Linked DNA regions of Anolis sagrei. The protein of the gene in region 4 purifies or fractionates together with the protein of the main gene of each other region. This does not show direct contact. Links are inferred from orthologs where the notes say so. Each region holds a gene or a part of one and is shown on either strand. Other genes may lie near its edges.

The links.
Region 1: the proteins of COPG1 (region 4) and NUDCD1 purify together in Homo sapiens (affinity purification with mass spectrometry; 3 studies listed by BioGRID and IntAct, counting the BioPlex papers as one, with this or other methods). This does not show direct contact. The link is inferred for Anolis sagrei from reciprocal best matches to the Homo sapiens genes COPG1 and NUDCD1.
Region 2: the proteins of COPG1 (region 4) and COPE fractionate together in Homo sapiens (co-fractionation; 6 studies listed by BioGRID and IntAct, counting the BioPlex papers as one, with this or other methods). This does not show direct contact. The link is inferred for Anolis sagrei from reciprocal best matches to the Homo sapiens genes COPG1 and COPE.
Region 3: the proteins of COPG1 (region 4) and COPB1 fractionate together in Homo sapiens (co-fractionation; 11 studies listed by BioGRID and IntAct, counting the BioPlex papers as one, with this or other methods). This does not show direct contact. The link is inferred for Anolis sagrei from reciprocal best matches to the Homo sapiens genes COPG1 and COPB1.

The regions. Positions count from the first base shown.
Region 1 is NC_090024.1:26,950,165-26,957,578, forward strand, and holds the start of NUDCD1 (nudC domain-containing protein 1), read left to right. Parts: upstream 1-4,409; 5' UTR 4,410-4,500; coding exon 4,501-4,624; intron 4,625-7,414.
Region 2 is NC_090034.1:52,171,499-52,178,553, forward strand, and holds the start of COPE (coatomer subunit epsilon), read right to left. Parts: upstream 3,009-7,055; 5' UTR 2,964-3,008; coding exon 2,847-2,963; intron 2,695-2,846; coding exon 2,632-2,694; intron 1-2,631. Other genes in the region: probable ATP-dependent RNA helicase DDX49, read left to right, coding at 3,445-3,634, 5,862-5,985, 6,263-6,348, 6,424-6,545, 6,992-7,055. UniProt on the Homo sapiens protein: The coatomer is a cytosolic protein complex that binds to dilysine motifs and reversibly associates with Golgi non-clathrin-coated vesicles, which further mediate biosynthetic protein transport from the ER, via the Golgi up to the trans Golgi network.
Region 3 is NC_090021.1:250,245,832-250,252,927, forward strand, and holds the start of COPB1 (coatomer subunit beta), read left to right. Parts: upstream 1-4,079; 5' UTR 4,080-4,303; intron 4,304-7,096. Other genes in the region: PSMA1 (proteasome subunit alpha type-1), read left to right, coding at 534-590. UniProt on the Homo sapiens protein: The coatomer is a cytosolic protein complex that binds to dilysine motifs and reversibly associates with Golgi non-clathrin-coated vesicles, which further mediate biosynthetic protein transport from the ER, via the Golgi up to the trans Golgi network.
Region 4 is NC_090022.1:56,476,835-56,483,708, forward strand, and holds the start of COPG1 (coatomer subunit gamma-1), read right to left. Parts: upstream 3,013-6,874; 5' UTR 2,798-3,012; coding exon 2,761-2,797; intron 1-2,760. UniProt on the Homo sapiens protein: The coatomer is a cytosolic protein complex that binds to dilysine motifs and reversibly associates with Golgi non-clathrin-coated vesicles, which further mediate biosynthetic protein transport from the ER, via the Golgi up to the trans Golgi network.

The DNA.
Region 1 (7,414 bases), on a different chromosome or scaffold from region 4:
AGAAAGGTGGAGTAGAAATAACGTAAATACATAAATAATAAATAAACTGCATTAATTCAACAATGCAGATGCACTCTTGGGCTGAAGATGCAGTTAGCACAAAGCAACTATTAGCGGCATATACAAAGCAACTATTAGCTGCATATGTACCTAATATGCAGAGACATTTTAGGTACACATTTCAGTTTTAATTTCATATTTAGACTTGTGTCTCATCAATATCTCATTGTGGATATTGTTTTTAAAAATATATTTTGGATAAGGGATACTCAACCTGCATCGCTGCAAAGTAAACATTTTTATAAAATCAAACCTCTTTTTCTCTTTTTCTCTTTATTATCCAATGCTGTCTGGAAGGCTTAGGAAAATATTTAATTATCATTTTTTGTTGTTCATTCGTTCAGTTGCCTCCAACTTCTTGTGACCTCATGGACCAGCCCATGCCAGAGTTCCCTGTCAGCGGTCACCACCCCCAGCTCCTTCAAGGTCAAGCCAGCCACTTCAAGGATACCATCCATCCATCTTGTCCTTGGTCGGCCCCTCTTCCTTTTTCCTTCCAGATACCCATGATGCTCAGGGATTTTTCAAAGCCACAAAGGTCATCTATGGACCAAGAAACCATGGCATACAGCCTGTACACTCATCAGATGGAACCAAACTTCTGAAGGACAAAAAAATCAATTGCACTACGTTGGAAAGAACACTACCAAAGCCTCGGGCTTTATTTCCTGAAATATGGACTGGTTGGATCTTCTTGCGGTCCAAGGCACTCTCAGAACTTTCCTCCAACACCACAGTTCAAAAGTGTCTATCTTCCTTCACTCAGTCCATCTCTCACATCCGTAGGTGACTATGGGGAATACCACTGCTTTAACTATGTGGATTTTGGTTGCCAGTGTGATGTCTCTACTCTTCACTATTTTATCGAGATTGGTCATTGCTCTCCTTCCAAGAAGTAAGCGTCTCCAGATTTCCTGGCCGCGATTTCTTGACAAAGTCTATCACGGCCTCCATGTTTTCTCCCTCTATTTGCCAGTTATCAATCAGTTTGGTTGCCATAATCTTGTTTCTTATATATATATATTTAGCTGCAACCCAGCTTTTGCACTTTCTTCTTTCACCTTGATTAGAAAGCTCCTCAGCTCCTCCTTGCCATCAAATTGGTATCATCTGCATATCTAAGGTTGTTAATGTTTCTTCCAGCTATTTTTACCCCAGCCTTGCATTCATCAAGCCCCACACATCGCATTCATACAAGTTGAATAGGTTATTATTATTATTAACTTTATTTATACCCTGCAAAATCTCCCGAAGGATGCGGCTTACAAAGGCCAAGGCCGCCGACAAACAACAACATACAATACACAATAAACTCATAAGCAAATAATAAACATCAAGCAAAACAATAAAACAGTAAAACAATGACACCGTGATGCAATTAAAACCTAAAGGCCGGGCCAAATGTAATGGACAAAATTTTAAAAGTTCTGAACTTGACAGGTGATATGTAGAGGTATTTGGTGGTAGGTGCAATGTGCAGATAATCCTGAATCTCTAGCAAAGTGCATTTGGGACTTGATGCCAGGAGTTTCCTATTCTGGAAAGGCACACTGGAACAGCCAGGTCTTCAAGCTCTTCCTAAAGACAGCCAACGTTGGGGCTTGTCTGATGTCCTTGGGGAGGGTGTTCCAGTCGGGGGGCCACCACAGAGAAGGCCCTGTCCCTCGTCCCCACCAAACGCGCCTGCGACGCAGGTGGGATCGTGAGCAGGGCCTCTCCAGATGATCAAAGGGAGCGTGCGGGTTCGTATTTGTTTGGTCACGCAGGTAGGCAGGTCCCAAACCGTTTAGGGCTTTGTAGGTGAGCACTTGCACCTTGAATTGGGACCGGAAAATGAACGGCAGCCAATGGAGCTCCTTGAACAGGAGGGTTGACCTCTCTCTGTAAGGGGCCCCAGTTAACATCCTGGCTGCCGCCCGCTGAACTAGCTGAAATTTCCGAGCCGTTTTCAAGGGCAACCCTTGTGAAACTACAACTCCCATAATTCCATAGCATTGGGTGAGAGTATGCAACCGTGTTGTACGCCTTTCCCAATTATATCAATTTTAGTATTTAGTTATTTAATATCCCATTTTCATGTCTTTATGTTGTTTGGTACTTGAATGTGTATCTATGTTGATATACAGTAAATTTAATGTTTAAAGAAACTTTCTGAGAAATGTCCTAAAGAAGGAGCAGTTATATTAATCTGAACTCATGCTACATCAGAATTATGAAGGTGTGTCTACACCGTAGAATTTAAGAAGTTTGACACCACTTGAACCGCTTTTGCTGAATGCTATGGAATCATGGGATTGCTGAGGCCTCAGCCCTCTTTGGTAGAGAAGGCTACAGCCCTTGTGGAACTACAACTCCCATAATTCCATAGCACTGAGCCTTGGCAGTCAAAGGGGTGTCAAACTGCATTAATTTCACGGTGTAGATGCACCATTATGACTTTTAAAAATGAGGTCTCCCCGACCAGCTCAATTAAACAGCTGAGAATGGGAAAAAGTGAGTGAGAGAGAGGCAGGTACCTGTCCCGGAGGCCCTTCGCTTCCTCCCGGCTCTTTCCTCCCAAAGTCGCCTCCAACTCCCCGCCGCGCAGCCGCAGAAACGCCCAAGAGGGTCCCGCCCACCGCACTACGTTCTGACCTCATGCCTCGCAAAGCAGAACGGGAAACGTAGTCCTTTATTGCGTCTCCCCTTGTTCTCCAGTGTCTCAAATGAACTACAAGTCCCAGAAGGCCGCATTCTCAAAGCAGCTCTCCCTTATCTCCTGGATGTTCTATATTAGGATAGGGTCTTATTTAAAACGGAGAAAATGAATCAACTAAATAATAATAATAATTATTATTATTATTATTATTAATTAATAAGCAAAATTAATTGATGCTATGGGATGGGGCAAATAAATGGGATTTATAAATCAGTTATATTATGAATCAACTAATAATTAATTAAATAGTAACTAATGAGTAAAATTGATTAATGCTATTGGGGCAGGGGCAAATAAATGGGATTTATAAATAAGTTATATTATGAATCAACTAATAATAAAGAATTAATTAATATTAATAACTAACATTAATTAATGTTATTGGGATGGGGCAAATAAATGGGATTCGTAATTAAGTTATATTGCCAATCAACTAATAATAAAGAATGTATTAATTAATTAATAATTAATTGAGTAAAATTGATCAATGCTATTGGGATGGAGGCAAATAAATGGGATTTGTATTTAGTTATATTGTGAATCAACGAGTAATAAAGAACTTATTAATTAATAATTAATTGAGTGAAATTAATCAATGCTATTGTGGCGTAGGCAAATAAATAGGATTTGTAATTAAGTTATATTATGAATCAATAATAAAGAACTTATTAATTAATTCGTATTTAATTGATGAGTAAAATTGATGCTACTGGGGCAGAGGCAAATAAATGGGATTTGTAATTAAGTTTATTGTTAATCAACTAATAATAGATAACTTATTAATATTAATGAATGAAAATAATGAATGCTGTTGGGGTGGTGGCAAATAAATAGGATTTATAAGTAAGTTATATTATGAATCAACTAATAAAGAACGAATTAATTAGTAATTAATTATTAATTAGTAAAATTAATCAACACTATTGGAGACGGGGAAAATAAATGGGATTTATAAGTAAATTCTATTATGAATCAACTAATAAAGAACTAATTAATTAGTAATTAATCATTAGTCAGTAAAATTGATTAATGCTATTGGAGGCGGGGGCAAATAAATGGAATTTATAAATAAGTTATATTATGAATCAATTAATAAAGAACTAATTATTAATTAGTAAAATTAATTAAGGCTATTGGAGGCGGGGCAAATAAATGGAATAAATAAGTTATATTATGAATCAACTAAGAAAGAACTAATTAATTAGTAATTAATTAGTATAATTAATAATTAATTAGTAAAATTGATACTATTGGAGGCGGGGGCAAATAAATGGAATTTATAAATAAGTTATATTATGAATCCACTAATAAAGAATTAATTAATTAGTAATTAATTAGTAATTAGTAACATTAATTAAGGCTATTGGAGGTGGGTGCAAATAAATGGAATGTATAAATAAGTTATATTATGAATCAACTAATCAAAAACTTGCTAATTAATTAATAATTAGTAATTAATTAATTAGTAAAATTAATTAATGCTATTGAGGTGGGCAAATAAATGGGCTTTTAATCCCCTGTGGATGTGCTTCAGGGATTCCTCATAAACAAGTCTTTGAATGAGAACAGCCAAAACGCAGAAGTTGCCCACTCAGTGGCCCGGATGTAGTTCTTGAGCAGCAGTCACTCAAAAAACTACACTTCCCAGAACGCTTTGCTCGCACTCTTCTACCTAGAAGCCTCTGCGGGCTGGAAGAGGCGTCCTGGCTTCCCTGGGCCTCTAATAGGAGAAGAAAGAAGCGATGGAGGACAAAGCGGCGGCCAATTGCTCCCTGCGGGTCAAGCGCCCCCTCTTGGACCCCAAGTTCGAGGGCTACAAGCTGTCTCTGGAGCCGCTGGCCTCTTACCAAGTCGCCCTGGACTCCCGTAAGTGGATCTCAGCACCAGAGACTGGCCAGGCGGGAAGACACAATCAAAGCCCTCCCGACAGATGGCCAGCCAGACTCTGTTTAAAAAAGGGGCTGGCAAAAAAGGGATATCCAGGATTCTATAGTTAAAGTAGTGTCAGGTATGATCCAAAGCAGGAATGGGCAAACTTGGGGCCTCCAGGTGTTTTGGACTTTAACTCCTACAATTCCTAACAGCCGGTAGGCTGTTAGGAATTGTGGGAGTTGAAGTCCAAAACACCTGGAGGGCCCAAGTTTGCCCATGGCTGGTATAGACAGCGACACATCCATGGGGTTGATCTTGTCATTTGAAAGTTGTAGTTGCTGGGATTTATAGTTCACCTAGAATCAAAGAGCATTCTGAACTCCACCAACGATGGGATTGAACCAAACTTGGCACACAGAACTCCCATGACCCAAGTTGGTGAACTACAACTTCCTTGAGTTTTGGGAGTTGTAGTTCATCTACATCCAGAGAGCACTGTGGACTCAAACAATGATGAATCTGGACCAAACTTTGTTCAAATACTCAATATGCCCAAATGTGAACACTGGTGGAGTTTGGGGAAAATAGACTTTGACATTTGGAAATTGTAGTTGCTGGGATTTATAGTTCACCTACAATCAAAGAGTATTTTGAACCCCACCAATAGAATTGGGCCAAACTTCCAACACTGAACCCCCATGACCAACAGAAAATGTGTTTTCTGATGGTCTTTGGCAACCCTACTGGAACCCCTTCATGACCCCCCCCCCCCCCGGGGTCCCAACCCCCAAATTGAGAAACACTGAATTAAGTAAAAGTAATATCTAAACAGGGAGAGCCATATTACAAGCGTTAGGATTGTCTGTGGCCCCCATCTACACAGCTATATAATGTTTGCTGCCAGTTTCCTACAAAGCACAGTTCAAAGTACTGGCTTTGCCCTATAAAGCCCTCAATGGCCCCGGCCCAAATTACCTGTCCAAACGTATCTCCCTCTCTGAACCAACAAGGAGGTTAAGATCTGCTCTCGGTCTCATCACCTTTGCAGGTGCGACTGGTGGGGACAAGAGACAGGACCTTCTCAGTGGTGGCCCCTCAAGCTGTGAAACTCCCTCCCTAGTGGCATTTGATTGGCCCCTTCCCTGCTGTCATTTTGCAAAAGAGTGAAACCTTGTCTTTGGGATCATTTCGGCCAGCATAATTATGGGTGCAATATAGTTGGAAGTGATGCATGCCATATGCCAGCAAATATGGAAAACACAAGAATGGCCATCAGAGTGGAAAAAATCAACTTATATCCCCGTACCAAAAAAGGGAAATGCGAAAGACTGCTCCAACTTCCGTACAGTGGCCCTTATTTCTCATGCCAGTAAGGTAATGCTCAAGATCCTGCAAGGAAGACTCCAGCAATACATGGAGCGAGAGTTGCCAGATGTACAAGCTGGGTTTAGAAAAGGCAGAGGAACGAGAGACCAGATTGCCAATACCCGCTGGATAATGGAGAAAGGCAGGGAGTTTCAGAAAAACATCTACTTCTGCTTCATTGACTATTCTAAAGCCTTTGACTGTGTGGATCATAATAAACTGTGGCAAGTTCTTGGTGCGATGGGCATCCCAAGCCACCTTGTCTCTCTCCTGAGGAATCTGTACAAGGACCAAGTAGCAACAGTCAGAACTGACCACGGAACAACAGACTGGTTCAAGATTGGGAAAGGCGTACGGCAAGGCTTCATACTCTCACCCAACCTTTTTAACTTGTATGCAGAACACATCATGCGATGTGCGGGGCTTGTTGAATGCAAAGCTGGGGTGAAAATTGCTGGAAGAAACATTAACAACCTCAGATATGCAGATGATACCACCCTGATGGCCGAAAGCGAGGAGGAGCTGAGGAGTCTTCTAATCAAGGTGAAAGAAGAAAGCGCAAAAGCTGGGTTGCAGCTAAACATCAAAAAAACCAAGATTCTGGCAACAAGAATGGTTGACAACTGGAAAATAGAGGGAGAAAATGTGGAGGCCGTGACAGACTTTGTATTTCTAGGCACAAATATTACTGCAGATGCAGACTGTAGCCAGGAAATCAGAAGACGCTTACTTCTTGGGAGGAGAGCAATGTCCAGTCTCGATAAAATAGTGAAGAGTAGAGACATCAGACTGGCAACAAAGATCCGCCTAGTCAAAGCCATGGTATTCCCTGTAGTAACCTACGGATGTGAGAGCTGGACCTTAGGGAAGGCTGAGCGAAGGAAGATCGATGCTTTTGAGCTGTGGTGTTGGAGGAAAGTTCTGAGAGTGCCTTGGACTGCGAGAAGATCCAACCAGTCCATCCTCCAGGAAATAAAGCCTGACTGCTCACTGGAGGGAAAGATACTAGAGACAAAGTTGAAGTACTTTGGCCACATCATGAGGAGACAGCAAAGCCTAGAGAAGACAATTATGCTGGGGAAGGTGGAAGGTAAAAGGAAGAGGGGCCGACCAAGGGCAAGATGGATGGATGGCATCCTTGAAGTGACTGGACTGACCTTGAAGGAGCTGGGGGTGGTGACGGCCGACAGGGAGCTCTGGCGTGGGCTGGTCCATGAGGTCACGAAGAGTCGGAGACGACTGACCGAATGAAAACATAGTTGGAATTGCCTTTGGATTGATGAATAGGATGATCTGACTTTGGATCGATGCACAATAGTTGTCTAATGTTTACATAGGTTGTTTTAATGTTGTTTTAAATTATTGTTTAATTGTTGTTGTTGTTTGGGCATAAAATAATACCGCTCATGTAGGCCGCCC
Region 2 (7,055 bases), on a different chromosome or scaffold from region 4:
GAGAATGAATTCTTGTCTGTTTGAGGTAGGTATGAATGTAGCCACTGGCTACCTTGATTAGCATTTAATGGCCTAGCAGTTTCAAGGCCAGCTGCGCCCGTACCTTGGGAAGTCTGACTTGGTCACGGTGGTCCACGCTCTTGTTACATCCCGAATAGATTACTGCATAGCACTCTACGTGGGGTTGCCTTTGAAGACTGTTTGGAAGCTTCAAATGGTCCAAAGAACGGCAGACAGGTTACTAATAGGAGCTAACAGGAGCAGTGCTCAGAGAACACACTATATCTCTGTTGCGTCAGCTCCACTGGCTGCCAATTTGCTACCAAGCACAATTCAAAGTGCTGGCTTTAGCCTATAAAGCCCTAAATGATTCCGGCCCAGGTTACATGTCCGAACGTATCTACTCCTATGAACCATCTAGGAGCTTAATATCATCTGGGGAGGCCCTGCTCTCGGTCCCGCCTGCCTCACAAGTGCGATTAGCAGAGACGAAGGACAGGGCCTTCTCAGAGGTGGCTCCCTGGCTATGGAACTCTCTCCCCAGGGATATTAGATCGGCCCCCTCTGAAAAAAAAAGTAAAGACCTGGCTCTTTCAGCAAGCTTTTGAGAATGCAGCGGAACAGATAACATGGAACTATGAATGATGAACATGGAATGGCAGATGATGTTACTGGATGTTTTTAACAAGATGACACCAATGATTTAACGGTTTTTATTTATGTTTTATATTGTAATGTTGATTGTTTTAAATGACACTTTTATGAATGCCTGACATCAAACTGTGCCTATCTGTAACCCGCCTTGAGTTGCCATATGGCTGAGAAAAGGAGGGGGGTATAAACACCATAAGTAAATAAATAAATAAGGTCTGCCTGGGGGAATCCTGAGCTAATCCTCCCAACAAAGGATTCCCCTGGGCAGTAAGAATCCAGACTTTGAAAACTACTAGACCATCAAATGCTAATCAAGGTGGCCATTTGTAACATTCACACCTACCTCAAACAGACAAGAGTTCTTTCTCCCACCCTGGACATTCCCCATTTTTCTAGTTTCCAACAAACCTCACAACCTCTAAGGATGCCTGCCATAGATGCAGGCAAAACGTCAGGAGAGAATGCTTCTGGAACATAGCAGGACAGCCCGGAAAATACACAACAACTGAATGTGTTATTTGTGTGTCTGTTTTATTTGGGGTGAGGATGTTGTGTTTTTTGTGACATGTAATTTCTGTTGTTTTAACCATTCATTTATTTTTACCCCGCGAACAGCGGGATAAAAATAAATAAATGAATAAATAAATAATATTACTACTGCATAATATGTTTTACAATAATATAAATACAAAAATAACAATATAATAATATAATAACCAAAAAACCCACTATATGGTTCAGATATGTGGATGACACCTTCACCATTTGGAGCCATGGAGAAGAAGAACTCAACAGGTTCCTGGACCATCTTAACAGCATCCACCCAAAAATCCAATTCACAATGGAAAAAGAAAATGAAGGAAGACTGCCTTTTCTAGATGTCCTAGTTATCCGCAAACCAGATCAACAATTGGGTCACACTGTCTACAGAAAACCCCCACACACAGATAGATATCTACATAAAAACTCCAACCATCACTCAAGTCAAAAAAGAAGCACAATTAAAGCCTTGGCAGACCGTGCAAAAAGAATCTGTGAACCCCACCTCCTCCAAGATGAACTGAACCACCTCAACTGGGCTCTCCAGGCCAATGGATATTCCACCTCAGACATCAGAAGAGCTGCAAGACCAAGAATGAGCCACGAGAGTAAAGATGAAGATCCACCCAGAGGAAAAGTGTTCCTGCCATACATCAAGGGAACCACTGACCGCATAGGGAAGCTGATGAGGAAACACAACATACAAACCACTTACAGACCCACCAAGAAAATCCAACAAATGCTACGTTCAGCAAAGGACAAGAGGGATCCTCTCACCTCTGCAGGAGTCTACCGTATACCACGCAGCTGTGGACAAGTCTACATAGGGACCACCAAACGCAGCGCCCAGACACGCATCAAGGAACATGAAAGGCACTGCAGACTACTTCAACCAGAGAAGTCAGCCATAGCAGAGCACCTGATGAACCAGCCTGGATACAGCATATTATTTGAGAACACAGAAATGCTGGACCACTCTAACAACCACCATGTCAGGCTACACAGAGAAGCCACTGAAATCCACAAGCATGTGGACAATTTCAACAGAAAGGAGGAAACCATGAAAATGAACAAAATCTGGCTACCAGTATTAAAAAACTCTAAAATTAAAACAGCAAAACAGCAGAGGGAAAACAATCAGGGACATCCAAGCATCTCTCAACAAAAGATTTTCCCAGGCTCAGGCAGGCCTTCAAATGCTAATGAAGGTGGTCAGTTGAAACATTCACACCTAGCTCCAGCAGAGAAGAGCTCTTTGCCCCACCCCAGCCATTCCACAGATATATAAACCCATTTTCCTAATTCCAACAGACCTCACTACCTCTGAGGATGTTTGCCATAGATGCAGGCGAAACGTCAGGAGAAATGCCTCTAGAACATGGCCCTATAGCCCGAAAAAACCCACAAGAACCTAACAATATAATATCTCGACCTCACCTGAGCAATATAGGCGCGGAACAGGAAAACGTCTCTCTCGATTTCTTTCTCAGGGCTGGATGCCTGAGGAGAGAAGAAAGGGAGACATATTATCACTCTAGTGAATACATTTCGAAAAAGGCGGCCGAGGGACAGAATTCATTGCAGGCCCCAATCCGCTCAGTGAGGCCTCGTCGCTTTTGGAACCGCTCCTCCTCGCAGAAAAGACGCCTCACCTTCACGCGCTGCGCCTCATTAATGGCGGCCTGCGAGGCCCCGATGTAGAAGTTGTTCCGGACGTCGAAGAGCTCGTCGGCTTCGCCCGCAGCGCCGCTTGCCCCCGTCGTCGCCATCTTGGCCCGGCTTTCCCTTCAGAAGGTTTGACACGTCTCCACTTCCGACTTCCCTCGCCGGCGATTGGCCGTCGCGCTGTCATTCACTCGCTGTGCCCCGCCCCTTCTCCCGTTTGACCAATCAAGGCAAGGAAAAGGGCTGACGCTAGAGAGTGTGAACATAGAGAAAGGAAAAGTTTAGAGTGACAAGACTGGGAGTGAGATTGCGATCAAGAGAAGAAAAAAATAAATAGAAATCATAAGTATATATATATATATATATTCTATTATTTTATATTATAATTATAAATTATAATAGTATTTTAATTTTTTCTTATAATTTCTATCAATTCGTATTGGGTAACAACTAAATATGATAATATTCGTGTTATTGTGATTTCTAATTTGTTCGACGCTCTGAAGCTTCGCGCTGAACATTCTGGGACACAAGCTACAGCGTTGCCATGACAACCTATACAGCCCGACTCAGGTTCGTGACGTCATGACGCAGAGCGCACCACCGCGTGGCACTCTGGGATTGCTTCCTTTTTCCTCTTTCCTCCGGAGTGTGATGGCGGCAGCCGGCTTTCGTGCCTTGGGCCTGTCGCCTTGGCTGGCGGCGCAAGCGGAGCAACTGGGCCTCAAGCGGCCTACTCCCGTCCAAGAGGCCTGCATCCCACCCGCGCTCCAAGGTAAGACCTCGCGCGCTCGACCAGGCCACGCCCTCAGACGCCTCAAGCCACGCCCCCTTTCGTCCTGCTGGGAGGCTCTTCAAGCCACGCCCCTTCGGTTGCCTCTAACCCTCATTGGAAGAGCCTCCGAGCCACGCCCACACATTAAGCTATTTATTTATCGTGTCATCAGCAACCAGACCATTGTATTACATTTCTAACAGAACAAAACAAACACACAGATTTAAAAAAAACAAAAAACACAGATTTTGCAAACTTGGTAGCTGATTAAATGTCCTTTGACCAGTATGTGGCCACTTGGAGTGCCTCTGGTGTTGCCGCAAGAAGGTCCTCCATCGTGCATGTAGGTTGCATTGCAGCAGGTGGTCAGTGGTTTGCTCTTCTCGACTCGCATGTCGTGGATTCCACTTTGTAGCCCCATTTCTTAAGATTGGCTCTGCATCTCGTGGTGCCAGAGCGCAGTTTGTTCAGCGCCTTCCAAGTTGCCCAGTCTTCTGTGTGCCCAGGGGGGAGTCTCTCATCTGGTATCACCCATGGATTGAGGTGCTGGGTTTGAGCCTGCCACTTTTGGACTCTCGCTTGCTGAGGTGTTCCAGCGAGTGTCTCTGTAGATCTAAGAAAACTATGTCTTGATTTAAGTCGTTGGCGTGCTGGCTGATACCCAAACAGGGGATGAGCTGGAGATGTCTCTGCCTTGGTCCTTTCACTATTGGCTGCTACTTCCCGGCAGATGTCAGGTGGTGCAATACCGGCTAAGCAGTGTAATTTTTCCAGTAGTGTAGGGCGCAGACACCCCGTAATAATGCGGCATGTCTCATTACGAGCCACATCCACTGTTTTAGTGTGGTGAGATGTGTTCCACACTGGGCATGCGTACTCAGCAGCAGTGTAGCATAGCGCAAGGTCTTCACTGTGTCTGGTTGTGATCCCCAGGTTGTGCCAGTCAGCTTTCGTATGATATTGTTTCTAGCGCCCACTTTTTGCTTGATGTTCAGGCAGTGCTTCTTGTAGGTCAGGGCACGGTCCAGAGTGACTCCCAGGTATTTGGGTGCACTGCAATGCTCCAGTGGGATTCCTTTCCCAGGTGATCTTCAGAGCTCGGGATGCTTGTCTGTTCTTAAGGTGAAAGGCGCATGTCTGTGTTTTAGATGGATTAGGGATCAGTTGGTTTTCCCTGTGATAGGCAGTAAGAGCACCTAGAGCTTCGGATAGCTTCTTTTCAACCATCTCAAAGCTCCCTGCTTGAGCGGTGATGGCACGATCATCAGCATAGATGAAACTCTCTGTCCCTCCTGGCAGTGGCTGGTCATTTGTGTAGATGTTGAACATGGATGGAACAAGCACGCTCCCCTGAGGCAGGCCGTTCTTCTGTTTAAAAAAAACAACCAAAAAAAACCATTAAGCTACGCCTCCAGGTTTCCCTTGGCAATTAGGCGTTCAAGCCACGGCCCCACAGAAAGCCTTCTCAGCCAAACCACGCCCTTCGTGAAGCCCCGCCCACTCAGTTTCCCTTTGATCCCCAGTGGGGGGGCTCTTCAAGCCACGCCCTCACAGAAAACCATGCCCACTCTAAATCACCCTCCCCACTAAATAGCCTGGGGGAGGGATTCCTGAGCATGGGCAGAGTGTTTTCTCCACTTAGTTCTCCATGAACCCTGTTCTACATTTAAATCTAATCAGTGGAATAATAATAATAATAATAATAATCTTTATTTATACCTCTCCACCATCTCCCCAAAGGAAACTCGGGGTGGCTTACATGACGCCAAGCCCAACAGTACAAAATAAAACCAGAGCAACAAAACAAACATCACAATTAAATAAATAAAAACATAAGAATACAATAAAACAATACAAAATAATACAATGCAGAGTCAATCCCAATGGGCGGCCCACATGTGCGAGATAAAATGATAAAATTCAAGATGAGATAGAGATGTAAAAGAAATATTGGTATGGGAGAAGCTCATAGGAGACGGAGTAGTGGAGACAGGCTTTCAAACAGGAGGGGGGGAGTGCAATATGAGGACAAACATTGTGAGAGGAGCAACAAAAGGAAATATCTGATCACTCTCCAAAGGTGCAACAGAAAAGCCAAGTTTTGAGATCCTTCTTGAAGGCTGCTAAGGTTGGGGCTTGCCTAATCACCCCTTAGCAAAGCGGTGGGGGGTTTCCTTTGAGCTGATCTTGCCTCAGAACATGTTCAGAGTTCTTGCTTTCTTTCCAGGCCGTGACTGCATGGGCTGTGCCAAGACCGGGAGTGGGAAGACGGCTGCCTTTGTGCTTCCGGTCCTGCAGAGGCTCTCAGAGGACCCCTACGGCATCTTCTGCCTCGTCCTGACGCCCACAAGGTCTATTATTAGTATTAGTACTAAGCAGGTGCTGAGTGGTCATCTATCAGGAGGGCTTTGATGGTGTCTTCCTTTACGGCAGAATGGGGTTGGACTGGATGGCCCTTTAAAAGGTCTTTTCTAACTCGAGGATTATATTATTATTGTTGCTGTTATTATTGAACAGAGTCTGGATGGCCATCTGTCAGGAGGATTTTGATGGTGTCTTCCTAGGTGGTAGAATGGACTGTGTTGATATATTATGTATATTCCCTTCTCGATTTATTGTTTCCAATAGGGAGCTGGCCTACCAGATCGCTGAACAGTTCCGAGTCCTAGGGAAGCCACTGGGCCTGAAGGACTGCATCGTTGTGGGCGGCATGGGTACGTATATATGGGGCCGAAAAGCTGAGAGAGTGCACCACGAATACATGACGTGATCCCTCCCTCTCCTTGCAGACATGGTGTCCCAGGCGTTGGCACTCTCCCGCAAGCCCCACGTGGTCGTCGCCACCCCAGGGCGCCTGGCCGACCACCTCCGCAGCTCCAACCCCTGCAGCCTTCAACGGATCAAGGTCTTGGTAAGGCGGGGGTTGAACTGGTTGGCCTTGGGGGGTCCCATCCTACTCTAGGATTCTATAAACAGAGTCTACATGGCCCTCTGTTGGGAGGGCTTTGATGGTGTCCCCCTTTATGACAGACGAGTTGGACTGGATGGCCTTTGTGGGATCCCTTCCAACTTTAGGATTTTATTATTATTATTATTATTATTATTATTATTATTGAGCAGAGTCTGGGTGGCCATCTGTCGGGAGGGCTTGGATGGTGTCTATGACAGAAAGGGGTTGGACTGGATGGTCTTCGGGGACCCCTTCCCACTCTATGAGTCTATCATTCAGTCGGTATGGCCATCTTTTAGGAAGCCTTAGATGGAGCCTTCTTACCTGACAGAAAGAGGTTGGACTGGATGACCTTTTGGGGTCATCCCGCTCTAGGATCCCTTCTTTTTTTCCTCATTGGGATTTAGGTCCTGGATGAAGCAGACCGTTTGCTGGAACAGGGCTGCACTGACTTCACCCAAGACCTGGAGA
Region 3 (7,096 bases), on a different chromosome or scaffold from region 4:
ATGGATGAAATGAGTGTCTACAACTGTTCTGTTGTTCAATAATTCAATAGGAAATGGCAGACTCCCCCCCCCCCCAGATCTGAAGGGATACCCCAATATTTGTCGGCACATTTTGAATGTTGGGTGCCACAGTTTAGAAGCTGAAATTGTTAGTAAACACATTTCAGTTACTAAACACTAACAGGCTATTCTGGACTGACTTCATTGGATTTTTCAATCACAAAATCACATTTATCAATAAAACGTTTGGTTGGAGGTAACTGGAATTTCCGCTCAATATTTTTTTATTAGAAGATTAAACATTTAGTTAAAATAGTACTGCATATGAATTAAATAAACAAATTCTGACAAAAAATGAAACCATTTGACTTTGAATAAAGAAAAATGGAAAATTGAAGATTAGATCTTATACCCAGTTCTGTAGCTTTTATATTGAATAAAGATTGCAGCATTTCATTACGAGATTTTCTTTTACAGTTTGGGATCAGTGAAGCTTAAAAGTGTAACACTTGCCTATTTTTTATCTTTTTAAGACTGCTCAACCTGCTGAGGAAACAGCAGAAAAGCCTGAGGAGCCAATGGAGCACTAAATACTGCGCACAAAATATGGGGTTTATTCCAATTGCAGCACTGCTGGGAGTCTTCATTTGTATTCTGGCAACTTAACTCTGAGATGAATGCGTATTGTAGTGACATGTTATAGTGAGTCAGTCTTCAAAATGTATTGCCAAAAATCTTGACACTGGCAGTGGGGAATTAATAAACTGACCATTTATCTTGACAAGAAAAGCTGTCATTTTCTTTAAAAAAAAGTATGGAATACTGTTTTATATAAAAAGTTGCTTTTTTAAAGGCATCTGTTAATAAATCTTTCTTTCCTGAAATGTCTTGTTTTAGCTTTTTTTATCTGATTAGTCAGAGAAACATCAGCCAGTCATTTAATACTATAATTCGTATTGCCATGATGTTCACTTTGGTTTTGTGAAATGGTTTCATTTTACAAAGGGAGTAACTTTCAAAAACCAGACAATATTGAAGAACTTAAATAATTCAGCATAGTCAAGCATTTTTGACTTGTATGAAACAATAGTTAACTATTTGTTTCATACTAAAGATCCAATGATTTAAATAATGAATGCTGCATTGTCTTTATTTTTCTTCTGTTTGTAATCCAGGCCCTTGTTATGAGAACATGTTTGGTATAGTGGTTTGAGCATTAGTCTATAGTTTAAATTTCTGCTCATCCATAAAACTCACAGGGTCACTTTGGGGAAATTAAACTTTCTCATCTTCAGAGAAAGGCAATGGCAAACCCCTGAACAAATTTTGCCAGGAAAACTCTTTTATAGGTTCGCCTTACATTCACTGTAATGTTCTGAAAGCACACAACAACAATATAAGCGGTCCTAGTCATGTGGACTCTTTCAGTGTTGTAATAGGTGTTGACAGTGCAGAAAGAAAAAAATGGTTTCTTGTGGAATATATACCTATATAAATGGCTGGAGTTGCACTTAAAATGTTCTTACTTACATACAAATTCAACTTAAGAACAAACCCACAGAATCTATCTTGTTTGTAACTTGGGGACTGCCTGTACTGTATATGAACTATGAATGGTAACACTGAAAATACAGTAAATGATAGGGAAAGAATAACTGCCATATTACACCAGTGCTGCAACATTTACATTGGCTTCCAACTGAGTACCGTGGCCTGTATAAGATGTTAGTTCTGACCTTTAAAATTCTTTACGGCCAGGGTCCATCGTACCTTAGGGACCGTCTCTCATTCTCCCATCATCAGAGGTCGCAACGACCATCCCAACATGACTTACTTTATATACCAGGTCCTAGAGAAGTGCACCTGGAAAGGACCAGATGCAGAGCTTTTTCTATTTCTGCCCCTGCCTTGTGGAATTCCTTGCCGCCCTGAGAGCCATTCGTGAGTTAGGGCCTTTTACCCTAGCACTTAAGACCTGGCTTTTTACTAGAGCATTTGATCTATGTTAATTTTATCAATATCTGTATGTATGTATTTTTATCCTTTACAATTTCAGCTTGTAAATCGCCAAGAGCATCTTGGATGGAGGGCGATTAATAAGTAATTAAATGATGATGGTGATGATGATGATGAAAGAAGAGAAAGCAGTAATGCCTTTTCCCCTTGAGCATTTTGAATGGCTTGGAGCAATTGTTTCAGTTTAAATCTTTATAAACTAGCCCATTTCATTATATATCTTCTTTCTTTGCTTCCATTCTCATGACAAACAGCCAGCCTCTTGCTCTTCCCCTCTTAACCCTCTTTATATGTGGCAAGGGGTATTGTTGTCTGAGCTCTGACATTTCACCATAGTAGTATCATTTCTACTCTGTAGTACACAACTGGAGCATCATATTCCTTATTCACTACTGTAATTTATTGATCCCAAGGGCGGGGGGATCAACATTAAATAATGGAGAAAATGACAAAAAAAAGGAAAAACATTCTATACAGGTGTGATTCCTGTCTACAGTTAAAACTTAACTACACAAAGCAAACATCACAACGCCCTTCTAAAATAGAAATTTATTACAATAAACAGTGCGTAACTAATTGAAACTAAAACACAGAAGAACTTGATTATTTATTTACAGTATTTATATTCCGTCCTTCTCACCCTGCAGGGGACTCAGGGCACATCACAATGCACATATACATGGCAAACATTCAATGCCATAGACACACAACATATATAGAAAGACACACAGAGGCTATTTAACTTTCCAGCTTCACGAGGGTATGATCGAATTCCGGCCACGGTGGAGTTGTTGTTTCACCGTGCACACTGCTGGAGATTTTTTCAAATGCCATCGTAAATTAGTTAAATTAGCCTCCCCGCATAAGTGGTACTTAAATTTCCTACTTGACAGATGCAACTGTCTTTCGGGCTGCAAAGGTCGACAGCAAGATAGACAAATGGTCAGGAGCTTACTCCGACCCCAGCTGGCTTCGAACTTGTGACCTTTCGGTCAGTAGTGATTTTAATGCAGCTGGCTCCCAACCAGCTGCGCCACAACCCAATCCCCTTTATTTATCGTGTCAGGAGTGAACCAAAACAATTGTATTGCATTAAAAACAAATGAACAGACAGACAAAACACAAAGTTTGCAGACTTGGTATTCTATTAAATGTCCTTTGACCAGTAGCTGGCCACTTGGAGTGCCTCTGGTGTTACTGCAAGGTCCTCCATTGTGCATGTGGCAAGGCTCAGGTTGCATTGCAGTAGGTGGTCTGTGGTTTGCTCTTCTCCACACTCACATGTCGTGGATCCAACTTTGTAGCCCCATTTCTTAAGGTTGGCTCTGCATCTCGTGGTGCCAGATCGCAGTATGTTCAACGCCTTCCAAGTCGCCCAGTTTTCTGTGTGCCCAGGAGGGAGTCTCTCATTTGGTAGCAGCCATTGATTGAGGTTCGGGGTTTGAGCCTGCCGCTTTTGGACTCTCGCTTGCTGAGGTGTTCCAGCAAGTTTCTCTGTAGATCTTAGAAAACTATTTCTTGATTTAAGTCGTTGGCATGCTGGCTGCTATCCAAACGCGGTGGGCTGGAGATGTCACTGCCTTAGTCCTTTCACTATTGGTTGCTACTACCCGGCCGATGTCAGATGGTGCAATACTGGCTAAACAATGTAATTTCTCCAGTGGTGTAGAGCGCAGACATCCCACGATAATGTGGCATGACCCAATCCCCTGATAGAAGCTATAATAGATGAGGGGGAGAGACAATTTTTAAGACTATCGGACATGGGCAAACTTGGGCCCTCCAGGTGTTTTGGACTCCCAACTCCCACAAGGCCTAACGGGGAAAAGGAAGGGGCCTGAGGCTGTTAGTCCTTGTGGGAGTTGGGAGTCCAAAACACCTGGAGGGCCCAAGTTTGCCCATGCCTGGACTATATTATGCAGTACTACCATTACAGATCTTTGCTGCACTGAGCTGGATGCGACAACCCGCTTGGCCCCGCCCCGGGCGCGAGGGACGCGGAAGAGGCCGCGCTTTCCCCCTCTGGAGGCAGCACGCCTGTTCCGCGAACGGAGGAGGCGTGTCCCAATCGGGCCGCCGTAGTTCCGATGTGGCCTGTGCGCGGAGGGCTGCTTCCACGTCAGCTGGAGGAGTCGGGAGCAGGAAGGCGGCGGGAGCGGCGGGGGAAGTGAGCGGCGGAGGGAGGATAGTGGTAGTGGCCGCCGCGGGAAGATAGCACCCGATTGCCTGCAGCCACCCGGAGGCTCCCTGGGCGAGGGCAGGCCCACACGGAAAGGACGGAGCGGCGGTGAGTTGTATCCGCGTCTGACTGGGAGGAGAGGCCGCGGACCCTGGGCTCGCTTGCTCGCTCTCACACACATACACTCACGCTGGGCCTTCTCTCCCTTTCCGAAGGCCCAGCTTTGCGAAGCCTAGGAGCCGCCAGCCAAACCAACCCAGGGCCGAAAGCAGAACTTCCACAGGATCCCCGCTATTTGGAGCATTGTCCGCTGGATCCCGCGAATTATTCCTGCGGGGAGACTCCGAGTCGTTTCTGAGTCATGGCGACTCTAAAGCTTCAGGTTTCCTTGACAAGATTAATTCAAAGTGGATTTGAATGTCCCTCCTCTGAAGCCGAGAGAGTGTGACTTGCCCAGCGTCACTCATTGCCTTTCCTTGGCTGAGCAGGGGTGCAAACCCTGGTCTTCAGACTCTCAGGGTGCATCTAGACCAGGCATGGACCAACTTCCCTCCAGGTGTTTTGGACTCCAACCACCACAATCCCTAGTAGCCTTATGGCTAGCGTCGGAAGAGATCCATGGGTCATCCAGTCCAACCCCCTGAAAGGGAGGAAAACACAATCAAAGCACTCCCAACAGATGGCCATCCAGTTTCTGCTTTTAGACCTCCAGAAGAGGAGATAAGCCAGTCATGGGCAAACTCAGCTTAAGCAGCTGAGGGGGAAAAGGAAAGGGCCTGAGGCTGTTAGGTATTGTGGGAGTTGGAGTCCAAAACACCTGCAGTGATGGCCAAAGTGTTGTTGAAGGCTTTCATGGTCAGATTCACTGGGTTTCTGTGAGTTTTCCAGGCTGAATGTCCCTGTTCCAGAAGCATTATCTCCTGACGTTTTGCCCACATCAATGGCAGGCATCCTCAGAGGTTGTGAAGTCAGTTAGAAACTATTTATTTATTTATTTATTTATAACTCTTGTGTGCCGTTCTTCTCTACCTCCGTAGAGGGACTCAGGACGGCAAACAGCAACATTCAATGCTACGCAATAAATAGTATAATAAAACAACATACAATAAATAAGTTCTAAAATACATATAAAAACAATTCATCACATTAAAACAACGTCCAACTCAGTCCAAAACATTGTGGCCAAATTACTCTTAGTCTATATCCAATCATCCATCAATCTGCAAATGCCTGAGCCCACAGGCAGGATTTTAGCTGCTTCCTGAATGACAGGAGAGAGGGGGCAGACCTAATCTCACCAGGGAGAGAGTTCCATAGTCCGGGGGGGGGGGGGGGAGCTACCACAGAGAAGGCCCTGTCTCTCGTCCCCACGAAACGCCCCTGCGGAGGTGGTGGGACCGAGAGCAAGGCCTCTCTAGAAGATCTTGTAATCCTCAATGGTTTATCGGGGAAGATACGTTTGGCCAGGTAAACCGAGCCCAAGCTGTATAGGGTTTGGTAGGTTAAAACCAGCACTTTGAATTGTGCTCTGAAGCGAATTGGCAGCCAGTGGAGCTGGTGTAACGGGGGGGGGGGGGTGTGCACTCCCTGTACCCAGCTCTCGTGAGCAACCTGGCTGCAGAGCGTTGGACTAATTGGAGCTTCTGAACAGTCTTCAAAGGCAACCCCAAGAAACTAGGCAAGTGAGGTTTATATATCTGTGGAATTGTACTCTTACAACCACCATGTCAGACTACACAGAAAAGCCAGAGCAATCCACAAGCATGTGGACAGTTTCAACAGAAAGGAGGAAACCATGAAAATGAACACTATCTGGCTACCAGTCTTTTTTGAAACAAACTCTAAAATCATAACAGCAAATAAAGAACAACACTCAGAAAACAGGATTTCTAAACAAGGATAAATGAGGGCCAGCTAACAGCTCCCAACAAAGGATTCCCCCACGCAGCAACCAGCCAGGCCTTGAAACTTCAGGTCATTAAATGCTCATCAAGGTGGCTAATAATAATAATAATAATAATAATAATAATAATAATAATGGTAATGGGTTAAACCCTTGTATTGGAAGGACTGCTGATCGAAAGATCGGTGGTACAAATCCAGAGAGTGGGGTGAGCTCCTGTCTGTCAGCTCCAGCTTCCCATGCGGGGGCATGAGGGAAGCCTCTCACGGGATAGTAACACATCCGGGCGTCCCCTGGGCAACAGCCTTGCAGATGGCCAATTCTCTCACACCAGAAGTGACTTGTAGTTTCTCAAGTTGCTCCTGACACACACACACACACACACACACACAAACAAACCCATAAATCTTTCTTATAGCCTACTCTACTGTCCTTGTTTTGCCCTCTTGACTTTGTTGATCTTTTCCAGATGTGTTGAATGTTCTTCCATCTTTCCTAGCTGGCACAGCTATATATTTTAAAATAAGTCATTCACAGTGGTTTCTTTAAATCTATTGAAATTTTAAGTATATATTTCAGTCTAACCGTTATAATGGTGGATCGTAAGGTGCTCAGTTTTGATCCTGCCCTTTTATTTTAATGAGATGTATAGTCACTTATGTTTCTGTAGTATCTTCCTTATGTGTGCACTCCTTATCAGAAAAGGCTTGATATTGTAGTCATTTATTAAGGTAGCTTTGTAACAATATAAATTTGTTTATTTTCCATTGCTACTATATTTTAACACTTGTGCAATGTGCGTATGACACAGATAAATTGTGTACATATTTATCTGATAATATATCATATGATAGTACCCCTTGCTGAATCTAAAGGGGCTTGCTTCTGAATAGGTTTGCATTAGGCTGCAGCCTTGATTTTCTCAATAGGGTTAAGGTTACATGCTTGTATTGCACATTAATTGGATTGTTTACTTTAAAATTATTGGTACATCGTTT
Region 4 (6,874 bases):
AGTTCAGTGTTGATCCCTGGAGAAACATCAACCACAAAAGTCTGCATAATTTGGGCCCATTTATTGGATGATAGGGATATCTCTTCCTTAGTGTGTATAGGCAACTATATACTATGGAAGGGTATATTCCTTTGAGGTGCTCTGTACTGAGGAGTGAAAATACATCTTCCATAACTACACACTTGTCCCCTGTTCTCCATAAAGAGATTTGTCAATACAGGTTAAGCATCCCTTAGCTGTATTTCCAAAATCCCCCAAAATCTGAAATTATTCACATGAGCAGCTGAGAGAGTTGCTTTCCAATGAGCTGATGTATAAAAACATTTGTTTCATCTTAGACAACATTGTATTAAACTAACTCCAGATTATGGATTAATTGTTAATTGATGCTTCATGCACAAAATTATTTTAAAATATTGGGTATCAAAATTAACTTCAGGCTATATGTCTAAGGTAAAGGTTTCCCCTTGACATTACGTCTAGTTGTGTCCAAGTCTGGGGGTTGGTGCTCATCTTCATTTCTAAGCCAAAGAGCTGGTATTGTCCCTAGACATCTCTAAGGTCATGTGGCTGACATGACTGCATGGAGTGCCGTTACCTTCCCGCAGGAACTGTACCTATTGATATATGCACATTTATGCCTGTGCTGGATGGGGTCGCACTCCCCTTGAAGGCGCAGGTTCGCAGCTTGGGTGTGACCCTGGACTCATCGTTGAGCCTGGATCCCCAGGTTTCAGCGGTGACCAGGGGAGCATTTGCACAGCTCAGGCTCGTGCGCCAGCTGCGCCCGTATCTCGGGAAGTCTGACTTGGCCACGGTGGTACACGCTCTGGTCACATCCCGCCTTGACTACTGCAACGCTCTCTACGTGGGGCTGCCCTTGAAGACGGCCCGGAAGCTTCAGCTGGTTCAGCGCGCGGCAGCCATGTTACTAACTGGAGCGGGAGGCAGGGAGCACACAACGCCCTTGTTGTCCCAGCTCCACTGGCTGCCGATTTGCTACCGGACCCAATTTAAAGTGCTGGTTTTGGCCTACAAAGCCCTAAACGGCTCCGGCCCAAAATACCTTTCGGACCGTATCTTGGCCTACGAGCCCACGAGGACCTTGAGATCGTCTGGGGAGGCCCTTCTCTCGATCCCGCCTGCCTCACAGGCACGTCTGGCGGGGACGAGGGAGAGGGCCTTCTCGGTGGTGGCCCCCCGGCTGTGGAACACTCTCCCTGCAGACATCAGACAGGCACCCTCCCTTATGTCCTTCCGAAAAAGCCTTAAGACATGGCTGTTCGAGAAGGCATTTAATTAAGTGCTATAAAAATGTGGTAAAGACGACTGGAAAGGAACAAGGAATATGAGATTGGTTATGATTCCACTATGAGACGAAGCGGATTTTTAGTGTAATTTTGTAATTGTTGTATTGTTAATATGTTGTTGTAATTGCCTCTTGGTAAATTGCCTTTTTATATGTGTTGTACACCGCCATGAGTCGCCCTAAAGGGCTGAGAATGGCGGTTAATAAATGCATCAAATAAATAAATAAATTTACATGTTTTCGATCTGCTAGGTTGGCAGAAGCTGGGGCTAACAGTGGGAGTTCACCCTGCTCTCTGGATTCAAACTGCTGACCTTTGGGTTGGAAAGTTCAGCAACTCAGCAGTTTTACCCGCTGAGCCACTGGGGGGACCCCATAAGGTGTATATGAAATATAAATAAAATTGGTGTTTCGGGGTGTGTCCTGTCTCCAAAATATCTCATGTACATTTATTTATTTCTATCCCGTTCCTTCTCAACCCCCGAAGGGGGACTCAGGACGGCTTACATTTGGCAGCAATTTGATGCCACTACATATAACAGAGCAATATAATAACAATTAAAACAATAAGTAAAACATTCATTAACACAGTAAAAAACAGTATTAATAGCCGTATCATCATTCCAGTCAATTCCATATCCAATTCCATGTCCAAAGTACTATCTATGTCTGTTGTCCAAAAGCCTGGTCCCAGAAACACAACTTCAATTTCTTCCTAAATGACAGGAGCATGCCAAAAACATAATAATAATAATAATAATAATAATAATAATAATAATAATAATAATGTTGTTGATGTCACAATCCCAGATGACAGCAGGATTGCAGAGAAACAACAGGAAAAGCTGACACAATATGAGGATTTAAAGATCGAACTGCAAGGACTCTGGCACAAGCCAGTCAAGGTGGTCCCAGTGATGATTGGCACACTGGGTGCAGTGCCTAAAGACCTTGGCCTGCACTTAAACACAGTCGGCGCTGACAAAATTACCATCTGCCAGCTGCAGAAGGCCACCTTACTGGGATCTGCACACATTATTCACCGATACATCACACAGTCCTAGTGCTTTTAGAGTGTTTAGGCTTGAGAAGGGACTGACATGTGATCTAATTAAACAGCCAGCAGAATAATCTTATCTGCTGTGGACTCATCTTGTTGTGTTTCAAATAATAATAATAATAATAATAATAATAATAATAATAATAATATCTAAAATCCAAACTACATCTGGGGAGCATCTACGCTATGATGTTAATACAGTTTGACACCACTTGAACTTTCCTAACTCAATGTTGTGGAATCATGGGAGTTGTAGTTGCCAAAGAGTGATGGTGGCTCACCAAACTGCAGCTCCCAGGATTCCATAGCATTGAGCCAAGGCAGCTAATGTGCTGTCAAACTGCATCAATTCTCCAGTATAGATGCACCCATGGTCCCCAGCATTACTCACCGGATTCCTCATCCTTTTTGTCGAATTTTTTCAGCATCTTGTCCCTTGGCAGAGGAGGGGTGGTGGAAGAGGAGGCAGACAACTCACCAGGAGGGAGGGAAGGGGAAAGGGCCCAAATAGAGAACAAGAGGAGGAGGAGGAGAAGGCAGCACCTGGCTCTGCCTGCAGCCCTGAAGAGTTCTACTTCCTGCCCGGGCGCCACTTCCTGCCAACATGACAACCCTGACTGGGCTCAGCTTTGACAGAAAGGCGCATGCGCACGCTGCGCTGGTGAGGCCCAAAGAGGGCTTACGTGGCTGACAGTGCGAGGGCGGAGCTTAGGGGAAAGGCGTGTGACGTCATCGATCCCTCAGCCAATAGCAGCGGGGAACGCTTCGTGGGGCGGAGCCATTGGAAGACCAAGCGTAGAACGTTAAGAATAGCACCTTCCCCCCCCTTCAACCCTGGAATTGTGGGAGTTGAAGTCCAAAACATCTGGAGGGCCGAAGTTTGCCCATGCCTGGCTTATGGGGAGGTGGGCAGAGTCTGTAGGAATGTCACACTATTCAGGTTGTTTTGCCCTTTCCTTCCTTTGAAAGATAACCTCCTGCCTAACTTCCTAGATCCACCAGAATCTAGTGCTTTTAGAGTGTTTAGGCATCGGGTTGTTGTAGGTTTTTTCGGGCTATATGGTCATGATCTAGAGGCATTTTCTCCTGACGTTTCGCCTGCATCTATGACAAGCATCCTCAGAAGTTGTGAGGTCTGTTGGAACTAGGGAAAAGGGTTTATATATCTGTGGAATGACCAGGGTGAGACAAAGGACTCTTGTCTGCTGGAGCTAGGTGTGAATGTTTCAACTGACCACCTTGATTAGCATACAATGGGTTGACTGTGCCTGGAGCAAACTTTTGTTGAGAGGTAATTAGATGTCGCTACCTGCTTCCTCTCTGTTATTGTGCTGTTGCAATTTTAGAGTTTTTTTTAATACTGGTAGCTAGATTTTGTTCACTTTCATGGTTTCTTCCTTTCTGATGAAATTGTCCACATGCTTGTGTATTTCAATGGCTTCTCTGTGTAGTCTGACATGGTGGTTGTGAGAGTGGTCATTCCACAGATATATAAACCCCTTTTCCTAGTTCCAACAGACCTCACTACCTCTGAGGATGCTTGCCATAGATGCAGGCGAAACATCAGGAGAAAATGCCTCTAGACCATGGCCATACAGCCCGAAAAAATCTACAACAACCCAGGGATTCCGGCCATGAAAGCCTTCGACAATATGTTAGGCATCATTTGGGAAGCCCTGTGGCATCAAATAAGATATCTCTGTATAATTTGCATTCAAAATAAGAGCTGAAAATAAACTTAATTTTGTCCTGTTTAGCAGTATGTTGGGAACAGTGTTTTTCTTAAGTGGAAGAGAAGGAAAACTTCCTTTCTAAGCACCTTCCATAAAGTTAACACCTTTTAAGGACTCCTTTTTATTGATCAGGCAGCACAAATAATTTGAATTGTTTTTCAGGGGGAAAAATTAAGTGGAAAGGTGAAAGAAAAAGAAATCCTACTCATTCTGATCAATTTGCATTCTTAAGGTTGTCATCTGTCTTTTTCTGGTAAGGTTTAATGCTTTTGAAAGCTTTTCCATTATGTTATTTCTATTTATTTATTTTATTTTGCTACTGTATGCATTTCATTCTGATGTAATTTTTGTTGTTTTGTATTTTGTATTTTATTTTGCTGTATTGTATGGCCATGAAATCAGAAGACGCTTACTTCTTGGGAGGAGAGCAATGTCCAGTCTCGATAAAATAGTAAAGAGTAGAGACATCAGACTGGCAACAAAGATCCGCCTAGTCAAAGCCATGGTATTCCCTGTCGTAACCTACGGATGTGAGAGCTGGACCTTAGGGAAGGCTGAGCGAAGGAAGATAGGTGCTTTTGAACTGTGGTGTTGGAGGAAAGTGCTGAAAGTGCTTTGGACTGCGAGAAGATCCAACCAGTCCATCCTCCAGGAAATAAAGCCCGACTGCTCACTGGAGGGAAGGATACTAGAGACAAAGTTGAAGTACTTTGGCCACATCATGAGGAGACAGCAAAGCCTAGAGAAGACAATTATGCTGGGGAAAGTGGAAGGCAAAAGGAAGAGGGGCCGGCCAAGGGCAAGATGGATGGATGGCATCCTTGAAGTGACTGGGCTGACCTTGAAGGAGCTGGGGGTGGTGACGGCCGACAGGGAGCTCTGGCGTGGGCTGGTCTATGAGGTCACGAAGAGTCGAAAACGACTGAACGAATGAACAACAATTTTATCTTTGGGCTTGGCCTCATGTTAACTGCCCTGAGTCCCCTCCGGGGAGATGATGGCAGGGTATAAATAAAGATTATTATTATTATTTTACTGAAACAAAAACACAGTATGTCACAGCAAACGAGATATACGTATATACTGGATTTCATATCACAAAATCACAAGCCGAACACTTCCCAAGCGTCTAGGACTGTGTGATATATTATTATTATTATTATTATTATTATTATTATTATTATAATTATTATAATTATTATAATTATTATAAATACAACAAGTTGAGTCCACAGAAAACACTCTGCTCGCTGTTGTATTGGATCACACGTTGGACACTTCCCAAGAGTGTAGGACTGTGTGATGTATCGGCGAATAATGCGTAGAGATTCCAGTAAGGTGACCTTTTGCAGCTGGCAGATGGTAATTTTGTCAATGCCAATTGTGTTTAAGTGCAGGCCAAGGTCTTTAGGCACTGCACCCAATATGCCAATCACCACTGGGACCACTTTTACTTGCTTGTGCCAGAGTCTTTGCAGTTCAATCTTTAAATCCTCATATCACCACTGGGACCACCTTGACTGGCTTGTGTCGGAGTCTTTGCATTATTATTATTATTATTATTATTATTATTATTATTATTTTGTGGACAGAAATCCAATATGAGGAGAGGAAGGGTAAAAAATAAAATAATTATAATTGTGTTGTCAAAGGCTCTCATGGCCAGAATCACTGGGTTGCTGTGAGTTTTCCAGGCCGTGTGGCCATGTTCCAGAAGCAGTTTTTCCTGACATTTCACCCACATCTATGGCAGGCAACCTCAGAGGTTGTGAGGTGTGTTGGAAACTAGGCAAGAGTTCTTTCTCCCACCCTGGATATTCCACAGATATATAAACTTCACTTGCCTAGTTTCTGACAGACCTCACAACCTCTGAGGATGCCTACCATAGATGTGGGTGAAATGTCAGGAGAAAATGCTTCTGGAACATGGTCATACAGCCTGGAAAACTCACAACAACCCAATAATTATAATTATTTTTTCATTCATGTAGTGTCCTTTTCTAAAGTTGTATATATAGTCACCTTAGGACTTTCCATTTGTTCTGAAAGAGACAATAAATTTTTCTGCAGTTTCCTGACCAGTGTGGCTTGTAAACCATGGCTAGGAAAAATGTGGCCCTCCAGATGTTATTACAGTGCCACATCCATCTTCCCGCATCACTGGCTATGATAAGTAGCACAGGTGGGAATTGGCATTCTGGAGATTGTGAATGATATTTGTCTAGATTTAAATCATTCTGACAACACAGAAAGATCAGACTGTGATGAAAATGACATTACACTCAAGTCTGGCTAGATAACTAATTTCCAGATTTGGGGTGCACGCACACTCAAGACTTAATGCAGTTTGACACCATTTATTAATTTACTATATTTATATACTGTCTTTCTCACCCCTGGGGAGACTCAGTGCAGTTTACAATATATTAATGGCAAAGATTCAATGCCAACATACAATAAAAAAAGAGATCATGATAACTAATTACTACATAATAACTAATAACTATGACTTAAAATAATTAAAACTAAACATAAGGCATAAACAAAATGTAAACATTCAGGTGACGCATTAAAATCATCCTAGTATAAATATTAAAATCACATGATCCAAAAATCGTGCACCATAGCCATTCCGATCGTCATTGCACATGTTCCTTAATTATTCTTTGTATTGCATTATTTTACTTGCCAAAGGCTTAGTCCCACAAACATGTCTTTGTTCTCTTTCTTTAACTGCCCTGGCTCAATGCTATGGAATCCTGGGAGTTGTAG